Pelodiscus sinensis: one gene and its partners. The protein of the gene in region 3 purifies or fractionates together with the protein of the main gene of each other region. This does not show direct contact. Links are inferred from orthologs where the notes say so. Each region holds a gene or a part of one and is shown on either strand. Other genes may lie near its edges.

Region 1 (7,477 bases), on a different chromosome or scaffold from region 3:
CCTAGTGGGTGGCGTGACCCCACCCAGTGGGAGCACCTTTTGGCCAAGCAGACACACCATGGCCCTTTCTGGCCAGAGCATAGGCTGTTTTGCGAAGGTAGTGCCTTCCCTTGCCTGTGGTACTCGCTGCCCATGACTAACAAGGAGTTAAAAACCCTAGTTTCAGGCTTGTTCTCTAACTCATATCCCAACACAAGGGTTTCTTGGCAGTGGAATCCCAGCCATTGTTGTTTGATAAAGAGAGCAAGGAACAAAGGATAGAGTCAGATGCTTGGGCTGCCTTGCTGCTTTCCTCCAGCCCTTGTTCTCTCTCTCTCTCTCTCTTACAGACCCCTTGAGGAGTACAACTTGGGAGTAAGCTAAGTGAGACGGTTCCTCTTTGAGGCAGTCTCCCTGGACAACTGGATGTAGCCTCCACCCTGGTGGTCACGTGGTGACCCTGAGAACAGGGGTCTGTGTCCCCCTCCATGCAGGACAGCAACTGACACCCTTGGTAACAACCACTGTCTCTGCTGAGTAGAATGAATAGCACGGCATCTTCTGTGTCCTGCCCAATGGCCTTTAACACCACCAAATACTTCCTCATCCCTGTCTACTCTGTGGTACTGGGGGCTGGCTTGCCACTGAACTGCCTGGCAATGTGGGTCCTGGTATCCCAGATAAAGAAGTCCATCGTCCTCTCTGTCTATATGTTGAACCTGGTGGTCGCTGACCTACTGCAGATCTTGATGCTACCTTTCTGGATCTACTACAGCTATTTGGATCACAACTGGGTTTTGGGGCTCAAGGCCTGCCTGGCAGTCAGCTGGGGCTTCATCACCAACTTTTATGCCAAGAATGGTTTCCTGTGCCTCATTGCTATGGAGCGCTACATAGGCCTGGTCCATCCCCTTGAGTTCCGGAGGCTAAACACAATATGTGGTGCCACCAAGGTCAGTGCCATGGCTTGGGGGCTGGTGCTCAGCGTCTGTTCCGTGGGGATTGGTCTACTGCTGAAGAATCTAGAACCAGAGCGCTGCAATGAGGGTTATCCACTGGGGAGGTCCTATGCATATTTTAAGATGGCCACCATGCCTTTGTCCTTTTTCCTACCTTGTTTCTTCATGGGCTTCTTCTACCTTCGGGTCCTGCACAAGCTCAGGCAGGTGCCATCACTGGATCAGGAGGAAAAGCAGCAAATCTACGGATTCATTTCCCTCATCATCATCTCCTTCTTCCTGCTCTGTGTGCCTTACCAGGTGACCTCCCTCTACAAATACCAGAGAGAGAGGCTTCCATACGATCAAGACAGCCAACTCTGCCTCTTTGAAACAAACCTCTTCTTTTACCATCAGGTAGCGCTGTGCCTTACCACACTTGGCAATGTCTTGGATCCTCTGCTGTACATCCTGCTCCTTAAAGATGTGCGGAAAGAAATTGGAAATCACTTGTATTGCAAGGTCTTGGATCGGGGGCAGTCACAAGTAGATTAAGGCAAGAATGGAAATATTAGGTGGACACTGGTTCAGACTGATGCATAAGATACCCAGTGAGGTGGTGGGAATCCATTTGGATGTCAAGGTCCCTGCATCGGACCAGGGATTGGCCTTGTTCTCTGCTTCCCTTTTATGAAGCAACTCTGCCCCTGTAACCACAAAGAAACATGAAGGGAAACATGATCCCTCCAGGGACTTCTATTCACTCAGAACCTCTTGGAGAAGTACCTTAGAGACAGGTTGAGTTGAGCCACAAAATAATAATAATTAGATTGGTTCATGAATACTACATATTAGGTCTTTTTGCATTTATGGTTAGAGCTCTAGTTTTTCACAGCAATCAGGGACCTATCGTGATCTTTTAAATAAACAGTAAGTCTCATGGAAACATATAATCTCAAAAGATGGGCCTTTAACATTTAATATTTTGAGGCTATTGATAATATTGGGAAAGGTAGCAACATTGGATGGGCACATGATGAATTAACACAGACCACTAGACTAGGCTCTAGGATTGGATATAGATGGATAAGAACAGGTAGTGCCAGAGTTACCCACGGGGAAGATCTTATGCACATTTTAAGACAGCCACCATGGCTTTGTCCTTCTTCCTGCATTGTTTCTTCATGGACTTTACCTCCAGGTCCCACATAAGCTGAGGCAGGTACCATCATTTTAAAAGCTGGACCTTTAGCATTTAATGTTAGCGTGGAGAAGAAATTCATCCAAACTTACAGGATATAGAGACATAGATCTTTGCTGGTGAAAAAAAGACCTACTCTCCACAAAGGGTGAAAGGTAAAGAAATCGTGCCCACAGGGGAAAAGGAGAGAGACCCAGAGCAAGCAAAAAGCTGTAATTTAACCATGATGGGACAAAGAGAAAGGTCACTCATGTCTATGCTACATTCCCACTTAGTTCTGAGCAACAGAGATATGAGGAATTGTCTACCCGTCTGGTGGGCCACATGTGGCACATCTGGGTTCTATGTGTGCAATGTGGCAGGCAGGGTCCTCTGCCCCAGGGAGGTCCTCTCGCTCCCCGTCGTCCCGACGCCCACTTGGGCATGCCCCAGTGTTCTCCCTGGCTGGGAGGACACTGATCCGTCGGCCAAATCTAATCAGGTGACAGTCTCTCACAACACTCCAATGTTGCAGGCCTGCTCGGCCCGCTGGCAGCTGGGGGAAGGTAGGGGGGCTCGGGCCCACCCCCTCACCCAGCCCTGGCCCAGGGCCCTAAGGCCCAGGATTCAATTCACTGGTCAGGTTGGTGGGGTTGAGACCCTTAATGCACCAACCCTTCCAAAGCCCTGGGCCACTTCTTCCTTCTCTCCTGCTTGCTTCCCACCGCTCCGTCTTGCCACCCCTTTCTGCAGCAGGGGCGCTTCTTTTGAACATCCGCTGACAACGTGGCCAACACTGGGAGGGCCGTGCCGCCACTCTCGGCCCCTCTCTCTTCCTGGTCCACGGCGTACTGGCACTGGCAGGCGTCGCCAGTCAGCAGCGTGTCCGTGCATTCGGTGTCGGCTAGGAGCGCCCCTGCAGCTTCTCCCCTGCCCACTGAGGAAGGTGCTCTTGGCAGGTGGGGTGATGGAGCATCCTCCTGCTGGTTGCCAGCCGCTGCGGAGCATGTGCAGCAGAGCCAAGTTCAAGCTGGTGCCACCTCAAGTGGGTCCTGGTCAGCTGCCGTTTCCTGTTACAGCAACCTTCTATCAGGGAAATACCATTAAATATTCCAGTCTGAATAAATTCCAGGTCACTAACCTCTGCTTATTGACACTGACCACCTCCAGAGAGAGGATTTCATGCCCTGACTGGAGTTGCCTCCCTCCTGTGCTCACCAAAAGCGTTCTCCTTTACTGCTGAACCTGTGTCCTCCTGGAACGAGCTGCATGATGTGGTGATGGAAGTCTAGGGTGAGTGAAACCAGGCAGTGCTGCGGTGGGAGTGAGCCTGGGGGCATGTCAGAACCGAGAGCACACGTGTTGTGGAGCCACGAGGACGGCTGCAGGGGACACGGCTCAAAGAAACCCACTGAGCCCAGCATGTCTTTTGTGCATGCGTGCGCTGAGCAGCTGGCCCCTCATCCCTTGGGGGGGCACTTCTGGTCCGACCCGAGTGCCTCTGTCTCACAGCCTGTGCGAAGGGCAGTAGCTCCCCCAGGAGGACGCGTTGCTGGCCTCCCCCCGTGCCTGGGGGGGGTCTCAATGGAGCCCCATGAAGCGCGTGTGCAGCCCTTGCCCAGTGGAGTGGGACCCACACGGTGTAGCAAGGGGCTCAGGAGGGGGCAGCGGGCACAGGACCCACCTGAGCCCTTGCCCCGCCCCGTCAGCTCCCCCAGACCCCCCTTCTCCTCCCGCCCCGTCAGCTCCCCCAGCCCCCTCGTGGACCTAGCCCCGACTGGCGCCAGCGCGCGCAGCCCTCAGCCTCGCGCTCGCTGCTCGCCCCTCCCACCTGGGCCATGACCCGCCTTCCGGCTCAGCAATGGCAGCGTCAGGACACCTAATCGTCATCCCCGCTGTGACCAATGGGAAATTCCGCCACCAGGGAGCTCTTCCAATCACACACGCTAGAGCCCGCCTTTTCCTCCATTGGGTCAGCTAACAGTTGAGAGTTGATTAACATACACAGTAGCCAACCAGTGCGGAGAAAACTAGAGTGGGGTCGGCTAAGAAAAACCTTTAACCAATCATAGGGACCCATGAGCTAGGGCGGGGCCGGAGGAGCTGCTTCTCCAATCAGAATGGAAAGATTGTAATAGAGACGGGGAAAGAATGACAGGCCAATCAGAGTGGACAACTGAAGTAGGGCTATGAAGTGACACGTTCTTCAGCCAATCAGTATCTTTATTTCCGTCCCGTTAAGGCGCAAGGGGCACAGCCCAGTCCTGGACTCGCCCTCATCCTCTCTGCTCTCATTGGCCTGTACTGTGATCGACGCCATTGCTAGTCAATCATTGCTGAGACAGGTTTCGCGCCCTCCAATGGGGGAGTGTGGGGGCGGGCACCGCTTAGCCCGGGGCTGCGCGGCGCAGAGGGCGGCGGGACGCCATTTTGTGAGAAGCTCGGCGTGAGGCGGCTGCCGCGAGCTGGGGAAAGCGACGCGGAGCCGAGCGGGGTCTAGCGGTGAGTGAGCGGGGGCTCCACACCCCGGGACTGGCGCGGGCCGAAGGAGGGTGCACACACCCCTCCCCCTCGGGAATGGCGCGGGCCGAAGGGGGGGGGGAGGGTACACACACCCCTCCCCCTCGGGAATGGCGCGGGCCGAAGGAGGGTGCACACACCCCTCCCCCTCGGGAATGGCGCGGGCCGAAGGGGGGGGGGAGGGTACACACACATCCCTCCCCCTCGGGAATGGCGCGGGCCGAAGGGGGGGGGGAGGGTACACACACCCCTCCCCCTCGGGAATGGCGCGGGCCGAAGGAGGGTGCACACACCCCTCCCCCTCGGGAATGGCGCGGGCCGAAGGGGGGGGGGAGGGTACACACACACCCCTCCCCCTCGGGAATGGCGCGGGCCGAAGGGGGGGGGGGAGGGTACACACACACCCCTCCCCCTCGGGAATGGCGCGGGCCGAAGGGGGGGGAGGGTACACACACACCCCTCCCCCTCGGGAATGGCGCGGGCCGAAGGGGGGGGAGGGTACACACACACCCCTCCCCCTCGGGAATGGCGCGGGCCGAAGGGGGGGGAGGGTACACACACACCCCTCCCCCTCGGGAATGGCGCGGGCCGAAGGGGGGAGAGGGTACACACATCCCTCCCCCTCGGGAATGGCGCGGGCCGAAGGGGGGGGGGAGGGTACACACACCCCTCCCCCTCGGGAATGGCGCGGGCCGAAGGGGGGGGGGAGGGTACACACACCCCTCCCCCTCGGGAATGGCGCGGGCCGAAGGGGGGGGGGAGGGTACACACACCCCTCCCCCTCGGGAATGGCGCGGGCCGAAGGGGGGGGAGGGTACACACATCCCTCCCCCTCGGGAATGGCGCGGGCCGAAGGAGGGTGCACACACCCCTCCCCCTCGGGAATGGCGCGGGCCGAAGGGGGGGGAGGGTGCACACATCCCTCCCCCTCGGGAATGGCGCGGGCCGAAGGAGGGTGCACACATCCCTCCCCCTCGGGAATGGCGCGGGCCGAAGGGGGGGAGGGTACACACACCCCTCCCCCTCGGGAATGGCGCGGGCCGAAGGGGGGGGAGGGTACACACACACCCCTCCCCCTCGGGAATGGCGCGGGCCGAAGGGGGGGGAGGGTACACACACACCCCTCCCCCTCGGGAATGGCGCGGGCCGAAGGGGGGGAGGGTACACACACCCCTCCCCCTCGGGAATGGCGCGGGCCGAAGGGGGGGGGGGTACACACACCCCTCCCCTCGGGAATGGCGCGGGCCGACGGGGGGGGGGAGGGTACACACACACCCCTCCCCCTCGGGAATAGCGCGGGCCGAAGGGGGGGTACACACACCCCTCCCCCTCGGGAATGGCGCGGGCCGACGGGGGGGGGAGGGTACACACACACCCCTCCCCCTCGGGAATAGCGCGGGCCGAAGGGGGGGTACACACACCCCTCCCCCTCGGGAATGGCGCGGGCCGAAGGGGGGGGTGCACACACCCCTCCCCCTCGGGAATGGCGCGGGCCGAAGGGGGGGGGAGGGTACACACACCCCTCCCCTCGGGAATGGCGCGGGCCGAAGCGGGGGGAGGGTACACACACCCCTCCCCTCGGGAATGGCGCGGGCCGAAGCGGGGGGAGGGTACACACACCCCTCCCCTCCGGAATGGCGCGGACCGAAGGGGGGGAGGGTACACACACCCCTCCCCTCGGGAATGGCGCGGGCCGAAGGGGGGGGAGGGTACCCACACCCCCCTTCCCCCGGGAATGGCGTGGGGGGGGTGGCATACATGTTTTTTCCCTTTTCTGTTAATGGCGGTGCCCTGGAGGAGGGGCCATTTTGTCGTCCCCCCCCCCCACCCTACCCTCCAACAGTGGTGGTGGGGAATCTGCCCTTTTTTCGGGGAGGCCCATGCAGGGAATTGTGAGGGGGAATGGTGCTGCCCAATCTGAAAACCTCCAGTGCAGTGGTGGGGGGCAGTGAGGGGATGACTGACAGTGTGAATATCCTGCCCCAGGGGACATGCCCCTGGGGGGTGGAGAATGGTATGTCCAAGGATAACTCTCCTGGTTTGTGTTCCCTGCTCTCTCCCCTTGCAGGAGGAGGGGAACTAGACACATGACCCATGGCTGTGGGTGTCTAGACTCTGGCTCCCCTGCCTTTGAGCTTAGTGGCAGGAGTCACTCAGGAAGTCAGATGTGTCTGAGGTAGTTTTGGGGCTGGGGCAGAGGGTGTGAACTGCCTCCATGGTCAGAAACCGCTGTCCCCATGCACGCTTTGTCAGGTCCACTTGCAATGGTACCTGCGTGGCAGGGATCCTGGGAAGGGCAGCTAGCCCCCTTATTACTAAGGCCTTAAGAAATTCATGGTCCATTTGGGCCGATTTTATGGTCACAGGATTTTCAATAATTCTATGGTCCTAGCCCAAAAAGGAGTTGTGGGAGACAGGTTGCAAAGTTATTGAAAGTGGGGTTGTGATATTGCTGCCCTTATTTCTGCAGCTGCAGAGCCCTAGCTGGGAGCTCTGTTCTCAAGGCATCACATACATAATGGTGGCAATATTATGACCCCCTAAAATGTATAACCTCCCTGCAATTACCAGGACCCCCAGTTTGAGAAACACTGGTCTTCCCTGTAAAATCTGCATAGAATAGGGTAAAAACCCGGAGCACCAGATTTCATGGGGGGCAGGGAGGGGAGGACAAAGCCAGATTTCTTGGTCCTTGATGCATTTTTCTTGGCTGTGAAGTTAGTAGGGCCCTATGTGTTACCTCTGATTCAAAAAGAAGCTCTGTATGGTCTCTGGGCACAAACATCACTGTAGTTAGGGATTTGAGCAGCTAGTGCAAATGTCCTGTGTCAGGCTTTGCCTGGAAGGCACCATCTAACCA
Region 2 (7,585 bases), on a different chromosome or scaffold from region 3:
TGTCAGTTCTGTTTTGTTTTGCAAAGGCTCATTTATAACAATGGTGATCAGCTAGAATTCAGAATACTGATAGAAATGTAGCCGTGTTAGTCTGGTCTAGCTGAAACAAAAAACAGGACTATGTAGCACTTTAAAGACTAACAAGATGGTTTATTAGGTGATGAGCTTTCGTGGGCCATCTTGTTAGTCTTTAAAGTGCTACATAGTCCTGTTTTTTTGTTTCAGCTAGAATTCAGACACTGAAAGAAGTGGACTGATGTCAGACCCCATCCTCCAATGACCACTGAATGCATCAAGGGAAGCACAGGGTAAAAGGGGAGAAGATGGGAGAAAGCAAAACTAAAACTGTAGACATTCAGAGAAGTGCCCCTGTCTGTCTCTCTCAGTCTGGAAGATGTAAAGGATCGGAATTGCTATCAGACACACAGAAGACTCCTGCCATGTGACAGACAGAATGGCATAAATAAATTGGAATCAGTCTAATCAAGGCTGTGCGTGGGATGGGGCGCTGATCAAACGGCATAGCTTCCACTCGCTCAGGGCCCAGTCTAAAACTTGTGATAGTCTGTTGAATGATTGGGTCTCTGAGCAAAAACTGCTTAAACAGTACATGGGAGTGTGGAAGCTACTGAGTATATGCTGCCACTCCTTCAATTTCCATATTTTATTCTGGGGGGAGAGGGAGAAGGGGGAAGAAGGATGGAGAAAGTCCTTCCAAGAACATGGATGACAAAAAGCAGTGGAAACTAAGGACCATGGTCAGTGGGGGCCAGGAATTTGAAGAGAGCCATTTAGTGATAAGGAGAAGTGAAGTTTGGCAAACGAAATAAGAAAACCAGACTCAAGGAGTAAATGTGTATGCATCAATGTCAACTAGGAGGAGACCGAAGTTAAACTGTAGCAGGGCGCAAAATAAGCGTTCGAAAGACACGCTCTAAGAGTATCTTTGAGGGATGTTTCAAGAAGAAAAAATAAACTAAAATAAATGCAGAATAAGTAGAGAAGAAAATAGACCCCACAAGGAATTAGGGTATTATGGTTACTTTAATTATAGCACCTACTTGTCACTTTCAGTTTAGATGCACAAGGGTGTCTTTTATCATGTGACAGAATGGTATGTGCCATAAGATCTAGAATATGGACACTTGTAATTTAACATTAGTAGAGGGTTTTTATATCTGTCATTCTAGCTGAGTAACTCTAAGTTTTATTGTGGTAAAACAGTTGCTACTAGAACTCCCTATTTTCAGAGGTTCATAATTGTCTAAAGGTGAATGTTTCAGATATGCTTGGCTGAGCTGAAACAAGGGGTGATGAAAACTTGAGTAAAGTCCTGTCCTCTCAGCTGTCTAAGCTATTTTAAAAAAAGGGGGGGGGGAATATATTTCTCTCATGCCTCCTAATTACACTTTTTGTTTTTAAAATAGGGCTATAGCCCCCCCCCCCCCCAAAAAAAAACCTTAAAATTCTGAAACATTTATAGGACTCAAGACTAGTAAGTCTTTTATTTGGGAAAAGATTGTCTTTAACAGAGTGATTGTATGACTATAATGTATCTGTCACTTTTCAGAAGCCTACTGATGCTAGTTCATACAAAATGAAGCTAAACAGGGTTCTATGTGTATCTTAATCATTTTCATGTCCATTCTTTCTCAGTTCCAACTGCCAAAGACTCCTATCAGAGGCAGCAGCATGGGGGGGGGGGGAGAAGAGGAGGCTGCCACTGAGCAGCCTCTGTCTGCAGCAAGAACTCCAAGCTTTGCAGTAGCAGTCCTTATCCACGGGTGTCCAAGCTCCCCATGGAGCAGCTTTTGTCCATGGAGAGCTCAGACCCCATGGACAGAGGCTGCTGCTACCCCATGCTGCTGCCTCTGTATCAGAGGCAGCAGCACAGAGTGGCAGGCAGCCAGTCTGTGCAGGGAGCTGGCTTTTGAACTAGTTCCCTTCATGGACCAACAGAGGCAGAAGCACAGTGTGGCAGGGGACTCCCCGAGAATGGGGTTGGCGTACACTGGCTGCCATCTCCGCCCCTGGAGATATTGAATAGTTGTGTAACTGCTAAGCTTTCACATAGTTATAGTGAAATTGAATAGTCAACGTCCCTATTATAGGTGGACACTTGCTGCAGCATCTGACAGGGTTTTTCCACCACAGTAGTTAATCCAGCACTCCAGCAGTAGCCAATGGTGACTGCATTGGAGCTTGGGACATAATTTTTCACAATTCTTAGTAATGCAATGTAGATACATTGATCTAAGTCTTAAGTGTAGACAAGGGATAAGCAAAAGTGGTTTAATGATCAGAGGTGCTGAAAATCCCACCTCCCATTAAAATTCAATGGGTGCTGCATGTGTTAAACATCTCTGTAAAATTAGACTTTCTATTTAGGTGCCTAAATATTACTTTAGGATCCTAACTTTAGACCCCTAAGTTTGAATGTTTTGGGGGAAGTAAATCTTTCAACATGCATGAAAATCCTTAGCCGTTTTGATACTCCAGGGTTGCTCTATAGATGTATAAGAAGAGTATTACTAAAGTTGGCCAATATGATTGAATGCATACAGGGATTTGATTTCTTGATGCTTCCTTACAATTGTCTTCAGTGTAGGACTATTGTTGTGAGTCAAAATGAGGGTACCATTCAATATAGATGTGTGTTAAGTGGATTAAGGCAGGAGCTAGTGCTTACGCTAAAAGGAGCCCATCAATCTGTAAAGCTTGGATCTGAAGCTAGGGAGTAAAAATTCCTGGTGGAAGCTAGGATTTGTGTGTTTCAATGGGCAGCCATATTAGTACATGAATATGGTATTTAGGTTCATGGAGTCATGTGATATCAAAACTGAATCCATTCATTGTTAGGGTTCAGTTTACCCTTTCGCTTGCAAAGAAAACCCCAAAAATGGCTTGTAAACTGATGCAGCGTTGTCTGCAAACTATAGGAAGGCATCTTAAAACAATAAATCTGGCTATGTGTACACAATGTCACTTACAGTGGTTTGTGCCACTTTCCACAGCTCCCATTGGCCAGAATGGCAAACAGCAGCTAATAGGAGCTGTGGGTAGCCATACCTGCATCCACAAGGTAAACAACCTTTCTGGCTTACCCTGACGAGCCATGTGTGGCCTACCAGCCTTAGGTTGCCCAACCATAATTTAGATGAAAAGATTAGGGTTTGATTACCTTTGTTGGCTAGCCCTGACCAAACAACAACCTTTCCCCTAATACAGACACAAGCTAACAACCTTGACCTCTCTTTAGCTGGTCCAGATTGACATGAGGCTCCCTATTTTAGGATTCACTTGGCAGCTCTAAATTTGATGTAAAATCTATTAACCTTTATAAATGCTAGAAAAAGATCAGGGCTATCACCACCTTTCCTCTAATATTCTTTACAGGCTGTGTGTGCGAAAGAGCGAGTCCTTGCTGCTGTCACCTGAGCATTACTCAGGGTTGATTTCAAGGGAGAATCCTCCCTACTCGAGGATTATTTTTTTTTTCTGATGACTGAGCAATAATATGAGAGCTTTTATGAACACAGATGCTGTACTGCTTTAATTATACCAGTATAGTTAATATTGTACATCACCCTTAGTGATGTACAATACAGCTTATTCTAGTTCAGAAAGGAAAATCAGTTACACCAGTATAAGGCACTTCTATGCTAGTATAACTGTGCCCATGGTAGAGGTCAGCCTATTACAATATCAGTTATCAATCCTATTCATAACTCAGTTGTACCAGTATAACCTTTTTAGTGTAGACAAGGTCTAAACTAAATTGGTTTAAGCACCTTCATATTGGTATAACTGTGCACCCTAAAAACATTTTACTGGTGTAACTGCTGTTATGATCAAGGCGGCACAATTTTTATGGGCAGACAAAGGCTTAGATCCAGGAGGTTGGATCCTACTATGCTTGTGAACTCTGCAGACTGACTAGGTGTGAGCTGTCGGGTCCGTACTTGGATTCTGACTCTGTAAGCCAATCGGTGAAAGAGGACCCTATAGGGAACCTGAGTGATGTTCAAGCAGGCACAATTTGTGTACATGGAGCCGATCACAGGAGTGGAGCCTTCAGTTCCACAGACTAACAATGTATTTTTCCCTTTTTCTGATGGATGATGTAGATGGGGATCCCACAGCTTCCTGAGGCAGAGCCAAAATACTCCAATTTACCCTTCTGGAAGGGGAGACTACATCTTTTCTTACTTATTGGGCAACATGCAAGATTTAAATGGACACGGTACGGGATTGTAGGTTGAAGCTTTCTAGCTAGTCAGCTGCACTTCCACTGCTCCTGTCTATAATCGTGGTCAGCCAGTGGCACAACCAGAGTAACACGCGGGGGCTCTTTGGTAAGAGCACTGGTGTTCCTCCTGTCCCATGAAAGGTTCATACCTGCCCCTTTCGCGGCGCTGCAAAAGCTGGGGCTAGGCAGGTTGAATGCGCTGGGGCGGGCATTTACGGTAGTGGGGTTTTGGAGGCGCTCGGCGGCACTTACGGTAAGTAGGAAAGGGGGGGGGGGTATATTGCGTGCGCGGGCAGGGCGGGCACCAAGCTGCGTGCTCGCCCCCGCGAGGCGCGTCTCTCCCTCGCGAGCTCGGTGAAAGGATTTGGCGCCAGGCGGGTCCGCTCTGCAGCTGCCGCAGCCGCACGAACCAGCCGCGCCACCCACCCAGCCGCGTCCCACCGGGGCCTCGACCCAGCGCCGCCGCCCGACCGAGCCCAGCGCCGCCAGGCACCGCGCCGCCGCCGCCATGAGCTGCTCGCCCGTCAACGTGAAGAAGCTGAAAGTGTCGGAGCTGAAGGAGGAGCTGAAAAAGCGGCGTCTCTCCGACAAGGGCCTCAAGGCCGAGCTCATGGAGCGGCTCCAGGCCGCGCTAGACCAAGAGGAGGCCGGCGGGGGAGGCCCCGCCGGCAGCGCCGCCGAGCCCGGCAACGGCAGCATGGAGGGGGAGGCGGCCGGGATCGGCCAAGGGGGAGGCCCCGACCAGGCCGCGGCCTCCACCGCCGAGGACGACGAGGAGGAGGGGATGGAGGCGGCCGATGGCGACGCCATGGAGCTGGGCGAGGAGAACGGCGACCGGGCGGGGGCCGGGGGCGGCCCGATGGAGGAGGAGGCGGGCGGCTCGGAGGAGGAGGAAGAGGAGGATGAGAACGGAGACGACCAGGGCTTCCAGGAGGGGGAGGACGAGCTCGCCGACGAGGAGGAAGAGGAGGAGGCTGAGGCCGGCGACGCCAACGGGCACGGGGAGCAGCAGCAGCAGCCCCAGCAGCAGCCGCCGCCGCTTCTGCAGCCCCAGCAGCGGGCGCCCGCCAAGGAGGCGCCCAGCAAAAGCGGCGCCCCGGGACCCCCGGCAACGGCGCCGGCCGCCTCGGCGGGCCCCGCCAAGTACCAGCCGCAGCAGGACAAGAAGAAAGCGGAAGGCGGCGGCGGCGGCGGCCGCCCCGGGCCCCAGGCTGCCGGCGGTGAGTGCGTGGCCGGGGCCTTTCCGGGAGCTCGGCACGAGATCCGGGCCCTGCCCGGCTGCCGAGGGGATTCGCGCTCCTTATTCCTCCTCCCCCCGCCCACCGGCGGCCTCGTGGGGGGGTGTCTCGGGCAGGTGGGGTCGCTGCTCGAGGGCGATGGGGGAGGGCGGGACCGTTGCGCCAGTCTCCGAGCGCGGCGGGGGATGGGGGGGGGGAGCGAGGGGCATGGGCTGCTGCGCCGTGGGGGAGGGGCGGTTCAGGAGGGGCCGCTGGGGCGCGCTGTATTGTGCAAACGAACGTTCGGCGGCGTGACGTTACTTCCGTCCTGGCTGCTGCTCAGGCTCGCGTTTTTGGAACGCTCGATACAATGGAGGCGGAATCCCCTTCCCTGCGGCCAGGCCCCATGCGGAGCTGCGCCGCCGCCAAGCTGCGCCTGTGGCCACGCGGGGAGAGAGGCGCAGCAGTTGTGTAGCGCCCTTGTGCTTGGCTTCACTGTGCCCGCGGCGGGAAGGGAAGGAGGGTGTAAACGATCCATTTAATACAGTGAGCTACTGGTCTGCTTTCTGCCTAACCTCCCATTTGTCTGAACACAGCAGGTGTCTTCTCTGTTGAGCTTGTACACACAAGTTCATATTATTCTTGTCACATTTTTCACAAGTCTGACGATTCATGAGGTAACTTGAAATCATTGTCAGATTCTTAGTGCTGCCGTTAAAATTTGCAGTGTTGTCCTAATAGATTTTATCTAAATGATTAAGAGCACACCAGTTACCTGCCCAAAAATTAAATGGATATCTTTTATATGGAGACTTCTTACATGTTTGAATTTGAAACCTGGCATTTAGGGAAATACCACCCCAGAAAACTAAAACTAAAACACATTTCTCAACAGGAATTACCTTAAACATATTTTTCTCTTAACTTACTTTCTGTAGGCGATACTAAAACAGAACAAAAACCTGGTGATAAAAAGAGAGGTGTGAAGAGGCCTCGTGAAGACCATGGTCGGGGATACTTTGAGTACATTGAGGAAAACAAGTACAGCAGGTAGAGAAACTTCAAAGCACTAAATATTATTAGATCTCTGAAGAGAAGCCAGGTATTAATTACTTTGTAAAAACAGTTGAGGAAAAACTCATCAAATTTTATTGTTGATTCTAGGGCCAAATCTCCTCAACCACCTGTTGAAGAGGAAGATGAACAGTTTGATGATACAATGGTTTGTCTTGATACTTGTAAGTACTTTTTAAAAAAAATTAACGACATTTTTTTAAAAATAAATTGCTTGATGAATTGTAGTAAGAACATACAGATTGCTTTCATAATTAAAAGTGACTTCTGAAGTCCTTGAGGCTTATGCCCTTTTTCTGTGTTTTATGGTATATGAAGAAAGCCTGGGCTTTCCTCTTATTTTGTTCTCTGTATGATGGTTCTTTTAACTTTAAAAATATTACCCCCAGTTTTGCTGTTGAATTAGGCTGGGGAAAGGGCTTCAGGGTGAACTTAAACTTTTCCAAAAAGTTCACTGGTTACTGAAGCAGGTCTTCTCAAATGAGATTCAAAGTGGAGAGGAGAGAATACAGAGGACCTAAACCACAGTGGGGGAGGAGGAGGACCTCAGGCTGGTTCAGATTGAGAACTTAATTATGAAATATGTTCAGGCTCTGTTATGGTTCAGCCCTGGTAACTTGGGAGGAAAGAAGCAGTTTACCTCAATTTCATAGCTTAAACACTACACGGATAAGAGCAGTATTGCGATGAAGTAATCCTGCTGATATTAATAAATTAGAACAAACCATATGTTGACTTCTAATTGATAGTCATTAGCTCAAAGCAGGAATGAGCTGGTATACATGGAGAATTCTTACCACTTGGGTACAAACCTCATAAGGCAGTTAAGTTTTATTGTTCATTTGTAAAGTGAACTGTACATTAGTGTTGGAATTAATTCAGCACTAGTATGTCCAGTTCAAACCATGTATTATGTGATTACAAATTTACTATGAAAAAACAATGGGGAGAAAATGACCAACTTGTGAGCCCTTGCTGTTGCCACTAAGGCTAAAGTGTGTGGGGGAGGGGACTTGGTCTTTAAGATGTGACATGGCAGTAGCAT
Region 3 (6,990 bases):
TAGCACCAAAACTTGTTGAGTTAAAAAAAAAAAATTGACCTTTTTAAGAGTAGAGCAGGCATTGCCCTTTTAAGGCGGCCATTTTGAAGTCTGCCCGAGCGGATGGATGGACTGGGCTCTTTCTTGGAGGGAGAATGATGGGGGGGGGAGCTGGGCCATCTCACCTTCCACTGGAATTTCTTCACGCCCCCCCCCCCTCTGGGGGCCACGTTTCCCAGTTTGGGAACCCATGAGACTGTTTTGGGGTAGAAATGAGGCAGGGCTGGACAGGCATGGGTGCATGTCCCCAGCTGTGGGGCTAGAGCAACATTCCTCTGAGTTCAAACACCGATCAATTTCACTGCCACAGGGACTTCATATTGGTCAGTTTCAGGATGTTCCCATGGTGCTACAACCATGGGGTTCGTGATCCACCAGGGGATCGTAGGGGACTGTTCCAGATTCACGTGACTCTAACACGCCAGACGCAGCTACATGGTCTGTACGACCGTAGGCTGCGTCTAGACGGGCAAGTTTTTCCACATTTTCCGCTTTTGCGGAAAAGCTTGCCAGCTGTCTACACTGGCCGCTTGAATTTCCGCAAGAACGCTGACGATCTCATGTTCAAATGCTTCTGCGCAAGAGGGCCAGTGTAGATAATGGGGTATTGTTTTGCGCAAAAAAGCCCCGCTGGCGAAAATGGCGATCGGGGCTTTCTTGCGCAAAACCGCGTCTAGATTGGCACGGACGCTTTTCCACAAAAAGTGCTTTTGCGGAAAAGCGTCCGTGCCAATCTAGATGCTCTTTTCCGCAAATGCTTTTCACGGAAAACCTTTTCCGGGAAAAGCATTTGCGGAAAATCATGCCTGTCTAGATGCAGCCGTAGTGTTTTCCCAACAGGCATTTCTGGAATTGGGGCTGTTCCCGGGCCAGTCTTTTAACCGTAGAATCCTAGGGTTGGACGAGCCCTTCAAGACACGCGTGGCCAATCCATGGCTTGTGAGCCTCGTGCAGCTCTTTCCCCCTTAAAGTGCGTGTCACCTCACTGGATTTTAACGGGAGCAGCCAGATCACTGCTGCACCCTTGGGTGGGGGGGGAGGTTGCCCCAAAGGGAACCATGTGAGGTGTCTCATGAAAGCTTCTGTTCTACTGATTCTGTATGTGCTATTCATGTACTTGTATGATATCTGTATGTGGAGTTATAAGCATGTACTCTGTAGGGATGCTGGAAAATTCTCTGTGGCCAGGAATGCTCAGCCAATGGCTATGCTAATTAGCAAGGCTCCAGGCTATGCTAATTAGCAAGGCTCCAGGCTATGCTAATTAGCAAGGCTCCAGGCTATGCTAATTAGCAAGGGCTGTGTCTAGACTGGCAAGTTTTTCGGCAAAAGCAGCCTGATGTGTCCTAAAAAGACTAAGTCTGTGTTTTTTCAAGGGGCAGTGACTTTTTTTTTTTTTGGCTTAATTTTGGTGCGGCTCTTCGTGTTATTTCCGCCGCTGATTCGGCTCTCTTTGTTCAATGGGTTGGCCACCCCGGCCTCAGGAGGTCATCAAGTCCAGCCCCCTGCCCAAAGCAGGACCAACCCCAACTCAATCAACCCAGCCAGGGCTTGGTCAAGCCGGGACTTAAACACCTCTAGGGACGGAGACTCCACCTCCTCCCTAGGGAACCCAGCCCAGGACATGAACAGTTCTTTCATCCTCGCACCTGTCAATCACTAGTTCCAGGAGCACGACATGGGAATGCTGGGTAAATTCAGGGTCGTTCTCCACATAGTCATACTGCTCCAGCAAAGCCACCAGATCCAGCTCGCAGGACACTTTATTGGGGAACTTCCAGGAGGGATAGCGCGCGGCTCCCGCCCGGGAGAAAACGTCGACGATGGCTCCTTGTAGGTCGGTGAGGTCCTTCCTCAAGCTCTCCATGCAGTTCGGATCGCCCAGCAGGTGCGCCATTCGGACCGGGCAGGAGGGGCAGATCTGCAGGAGGGGACAGATTCACTAGCTGGGCCCCTAGGGAAAGGGGGGCAGGTGTTTTACGGCTGTGGGTGCACGACAGGCCGTGCCCCTGGCCCGGCACACGTGTGCACGAGGGACGCGTGTGCTGCACGAGCACCAGCCCAGCCAGACATGGGGCCTCCCCGCCCCTGATCCCAGCTCCATCCCCACTCTGATCCCAGCCTCCCCTCCCACCCCGATCCCAGCTCCGCCCCACTCTGATCCCAGCCTCCCCCCCCGATCCCAGCCCCACCCCCCACACTGATCCCAGCCTACCCCCCAATCCCAGCCCCGCCCCCCACTCTGATCCCAGCCTCCCCCCCGATCCCAGCCCCACCCCCCACACTGATCCCAGCCTACCCCCCAATCCCAGCCCCGCCCCCCACTCTGATCCCAGCCTCCCCCCCAGATCCCAGCTCCGCCCCCCACTCTGATTCCAGCCTCCCCCCCAGATCCCAGCCCTGCCCCCCACTCTGATCCCAGCCTCCCCCCAGATCCCAGCCCTGCCCCCCACTCTGATCCCAGCCTCCCCCCCCAGATCCCAGCTCCACCCCCCACTCTGATCCCAGCCTCCCCCCCAGATCCCAGCTCCACCCCCCACTCTGATCCCAGCCTCCCCCCCAGATCCCAGCTCCGCCCCCCACTCTGATCCCAGCCTCCCCCCCAGATCCCAGCTCCGCCCCCCACTCTGATCCCAGCCTCCCCCCCAGATCCCAGCCCCGCCCCCCACTCTGATCCCAGCCTCCCCCCCAGATCCCAGCCCCGCCCCCCACTCTGATCCCAGCCTCCCCCCCAGATCCCAGCCCCGCCCCCCACTCTGATCCCAGCCTCCCCCGGCCCCACAGCAGCTAACTCAGCTGGCAGCTGTTCAGCGGACAGAACCATCCAATCCAAGGGGGGGCACTCCGCTGCTTTACACCCCCCTCCCCCCGCGTGGAACAGTCCATTTTCTTCCCCTGCGCAGCACCGCCCCCTGGAGGACGGGGGAGCCAAGCGCGGGCAGAGCGAAGGGCAGCGGCGTCAGCAGGGCTACTGCGCATGCTCCGTGCCTCTCGCGCGCTCCCGGCGCCCCGAAACCATGGCGACCTCAGCCCCCCCTCCCCCCGCGCATGGTACTGCCCACCCGGCGGGGGCTGAGGCCCCGAGCCAGGCCGCGCCGCCCGAGCGGGGGTGGGACCCCGGGGATACGGGCGCTGGGGCGGGACCCACCTGCCGAGCCTCCGCCCCCCCGGCTCGGAGCGGATCCTTCGCGCCCCCGTGGCCGCGCGCCTCGTTACCACGGCAACCGGGCGGAACGAACCATCTGCGCCGGAAACTGTTCGCCGCGCTTCCGGCTCCCTCTCCCCCGAGTGGGCCTGCCCCACGGAAGGCCAGCCCCTCCTCAACTATTCTGCTCGTCTTTCACGGGTTTGGTTTCCCCCAGTAGGGCGTCACGAGAGAAGCGCTCCCCCCCTCCCCGTTCTCTCAGTGGAATATTCCGAGTTGGCTCCCTCACAGTGAGGCAAGCCCGGCGGGCTGCGCGCGCACCCACTGCGTGGCTCCCCCCCACCCCACTGGTATCGCCGCCCAGCGGACACCCCCCCAGTTCCGGAGTAGAACAGTCCCCCTGGGCTGCGCGCGCAGGCTCTGCGTGGCTGCCCCCACCCCACTGGTATCGCCGCCCAGCGGACACCCCCCTAATCCCGGAGTAGAACAGTCCCCCTGGGCTGCGCGCGCAGGCTCTGCGTGGCTGCCCCCACCCCACTGGTATCGCCGCCCAGCGGATACCCCCATAATCCCGGAGTAGAACAGTCCCCCTGGGCTGCGCGCGCAGGCTCTGCGTGGCTCCCCCCACCCCACTGGTATCGCCGCCCAGCGGACACCCCCCTAATCCCGGAGTAGAACAGTCCCCCTGGGCTGCGCGCGCAGGCTCTGCGTGGCTGCCCCCACCCCACTGGTATCGCCGCCCAGCGGACACCCCCCCCTAATCCCGGAGTAGAACAGTCCCCCTGGGCTGCGCGCGCAGCCGCTACGCAGGGCGAGGCAGCGCGCGCAGCGGCCGCCATTTTGGGTCGGTGTCCGCCGGCCGCTCGCTCCCGTCGCCCCAGGCCAGGCCGCTGAGGAGGCGCCATGCCGGCCGGGCCGGTGCAGGCGCTGCCGCCCGCGCAGCCAGCGCCCCCCGAGCCCAAACAGGTACCGGCCGGGCCGGGCCCGCACCCTCCCCCCCCCCCGCGCGGGCAGGCCCCGGGGCGCGGTGCATGCTGGGAGGGTGACCCGAGCGCGGCGCGCCCGGCCCCGCCCTCCGCGCCTGGGGGGGGGGTCTGGATCTGCCCCCCCCGCGCATGCCCGTCAGATCCAGACCCCCCCTCACAGGCACCGGGGGGGGCAGATCCAGACCCCCCCTCACAGGCACCGGGGGGGGCAGATCCAGACCCCCCCTTCACAGGCACGGGGGGGGCAGATCCAGACCCCCCCTTCACAGGCACGGGGGGGGCAGATCCAGACCCCCCTTCACAGGCACGGGGGGGGCAGATCCAGACCCCCCTTCACAGGCACGGGGGGGGCAGATCCAGACCCCCCTTCACAGGCACGGGGGGGGCAGATCCAGACCCCCCCTTCACAGGCACGGGGGGGGCAGATCCAGACCCCCCCTTCACAGGCACGGGGGGGGCAGATCCAGACCCCCCCCTTCACAGGCACGGGGGGGGCAGATCCAGACCCCCCCCTTCACAGGCACGGGGGGGGCAGATCCAGACCCCCCCTCACAGGCACCGGGGGGGGCAGATCCAGACCCCCCCTTCACAGGCACGGGGGGGGCAGATCCAGACCCCCCCTTCACAGGCACGGGGGGGGCAGATCCAGACCCCCCTTCACAGGCACGGGGGGGGCAGATCCAGACCCCCCTTCACAGGCACGGGGGGGGCAGATCCAGACCCCCCCTTCACAGGCACGGGGGGGGCAGATCCAGACCCCCCCTTCACAGGCACGGGGGGGGCAGATCCAGACCCCCCCTTCACAGGCACGGGGGGGGCAGATCCAGACCCCCCCTTCACAGGCACGGGGGGGGCAGATCCAGACCCCCCCCTTCACAGGCACGGGGGGGGCAGATCCAGACCCCCCCTCACAGGCACCGGGGGGGGCAGATCCAGACCCCCCCTTCACAGGCACGGGGGGGGGCAGATCCAGACCCCCCCTCACAGGCACCGGGGGGGGCAGATCCAGACCCCCCCTTCACAGGCACGGGGGGGGCAGATCCAGACCCCCCCTTCACAGGCACGGGGGGGGCAGATCCAGACCCCCCCCTTCACAGGCAGGGGGGGGCAGATCCAGACCCCCCCTCACAGGCACGGGGGGGGGCAGATCCAGACCCCCCTCACAGGCACGGGGGGGGGGCAGATCCAGACCCCCCTCACAGGCACGGGGGGGGGGCAGATCCAGACCCCCCTCAGGCACGGGGGGGGCAGATCCAGACCCCCCTCAGGCACGGGGGGGCAGATCCAGACCCCCCTCAGGCACGGGGGGGGCAGATCCAGACCCCCCTCAGGCACGGGGGGGGCAGATCCAGACCCCCCTCAGGCACGGGGGGGGCAGATCCAGACCCCCCCTCACAGGCACGGGGGGAGGCAGATCCAGACCCCCCCCCTCACAGGCACGGGGGGGGGGCAGATCCAGACCCCCCCCTCACAGGCACGGGGGGGGGCAGATCCAGACCCCCCCCCTCACAGGCACGGGGGGGGCAGATCCAGACCCCCCCCCACAGGCACGGGGGGGGGGGCAGATCCAGACCCCCCCCCCACAGGCACGGGGGGGGCAGATCCAGACCCCCCTCTCACAGGCGCAGGGGGGGGGGGCAGACCCACAGGTCGGGCCTGGGCAGGGCTCGGAGCGGAGCTGCCAAGGCCAGGGGGGCCAGGGACACAGCAGATCTGGGTCCAGAACAGATCTGGGGGGCAGGAAGGGGTTGGGGGGGAAGCGGTCCTTCTGTGCTGGCCTGGCCTGTAGGTTCCCCCTGTGCCCCAGTACAGGGACGTGCCCCCCACTTTTGGGACCTCTGGGAGTTCCTGAGCACGTGGGTTAAATCTGTGTTTCTCAACCTTTCTCCATAAAGTATCCCTTTAAAAAAAACTAAACATTTTCAGGGGGGACACACTTTTTTCCCCCCCACCATTGCAACACATTTGTTGCAACAACGTCATCGGCGCCGGGCGGGCGATGACGTTTTTGGGTGTAAAAAGGGCAAAACGAATCAAGCGCTGTCAAACTGAAAACCCGAATTCCGTTTTCTCCAAATGTCGGTGGTGACGTACCCCCAGACTTCTCTCAAGTACCCCCTAAGTCCGGGCTTCCCAAACTGGGGGGCGTGAAGAAATTCCGTGGTGGGGGGGGCCCATCAACTCCTCCCCCCCCTAAGTTTTGCTGCTATTTTTGTTTTTCGGCCAGGTCAGTTTTCTTTTTCTTTTCTTTTCTTTTCTTTTCTTTTCTTTTCTTTTCTTTTCTTTTCTTTTCTTTTCTTTTCGCTCAAGTTCTGCTGCGGGGTGGGTGAGTGGGAGGGTTTCTCAAAAATCAAAAACAGGGTGGTGATGCCGAAAAGTTTGGGAACCATTGCCCTAAAGGGACTCATACCACTGGTTTCGAAACACTGGGGTAACCGCCCCGCCAGCCGCTGGGAGAGCATTCTCTGCCCCGGGCGCGCGATCCTGGCGCGGCTGCCCCGGGCGTGCAGTCATCTAGCGGCCTGGCTCTGGCCATTGGAGAGTCGTAGGCTGGCGATATGCCAATGCGGGCAATGTCATACCTCATGAATAAACAGATCCGGGTCGGTCTTAAAGCCACCCAAGTGTTTGTCCCAGCGCTCTAGTTTTCTCCAGAGGGGCACTGACCACGGTGTGTGTGCGTACTATTGATCCCTCTGTCACCTGGCCCCCGCTAGGGGGTGCTGTGCACCTGGGGCAAAGGATGAATTCAAAAAAGCAGTTAATTAGATAACCATGAATATCTCGGCAGTTACGCACTGCCGACTCTGCAGTATAAAG

The links. Proteins that work in one complex are often made in the same cells at the same time.
Region 1: the proteins of SF3A1 (region 3) and HNRNPC fractionate together in Homo sapiens (co-fractionation; 3 studies listed by BioGRID and IntAct, with this or other methods). This does not show direct contact. The link is inferred for Pelodiscus sinensis from reciprocal best matches to the Homo sapiens genes SF3A1 and HNRNPC.
Region 2: the proteins of SF3A1 (region 3) and HNRNPU purify together in Homo sapiens (affinity purification with mass spectrometry; 3 studies listed by BioGRID and IntAct, with this or other methods). This does not show direct contact. The link is inferred for Pelodiscus sinensis from reciprocal best matches to the Homo sapiens genes SF3A1 and HNRNPU.

Annotation. Positions count from the first base shown.
Region 1 is NW_027465841.1:161,160-168,636, reverse strand, and holds the start of HNRNPC (heterogeneous nuclear ribonucleoproteins C1/C2), read left to right. Parts: upstream 1-4,460; 5' UTR 4,461-4,599; intron 4,600-7,477. Other genes in the region: G-protein coupled receptor 4-like, read left to right, coding at 522-1,472. UniProt on the Homo sapiens protein: Binds pre-mRNA and nucleates the assembly of 40S hnRNP particles. Interacts with poly-U tracts in the 3'-UTR or 5'-UTR of mRNA and modulates the stability and the level of translation of bound mRNA molecules. Single HNRNPC tetramers bind 230-240 nucleotides.
Region 2 is NC_134713.1:132,534,126-132,541,710, reverse strand, and holds the start of HNRNPU (heterogeneous nuclear ribonucleoprotein U), read left to right. Parts: upstream 1-4,568; 5' UTR 4,569-4,757; coding exon 4,758-5,469; intron 5,470-6,404; coding exon 6,405-6,516; intron 6,517-6,630; coding exon 6,631-6,704; intron 6,705-7,585. UniProt on the Homo sapiens protein: DNA- and RNA-binding protein involved in several cellular processes such as nuclear chromatin organization, telomere-length regulation, transcription, mRNA alternative splicing and stability, Xist-mediated transcriptional silencing and mitotic cell progression.
Region 3 is NW_027465935.1:507,825-514,814, reverse strand, and holds the start of SF3A1 (splicing factor 3A subunit 1), read left to right. Parts: upstream 1-3,990; 5' UTR 3,991-4,087; coding exon 4,088-4,150; intron 4,151-6,990. Other genes in the region: CCDC157 (coiled-coil domain-containing protein 157), read right to left, coding at 1,689-1,960, 3,279-3,281. UniProt on the Homo sapiens protein: Component of the 17S U2 SnRNP complex of the spliceosome, a large ribonucleoprotein complex that removes introns from transcribed pre-mRNAs.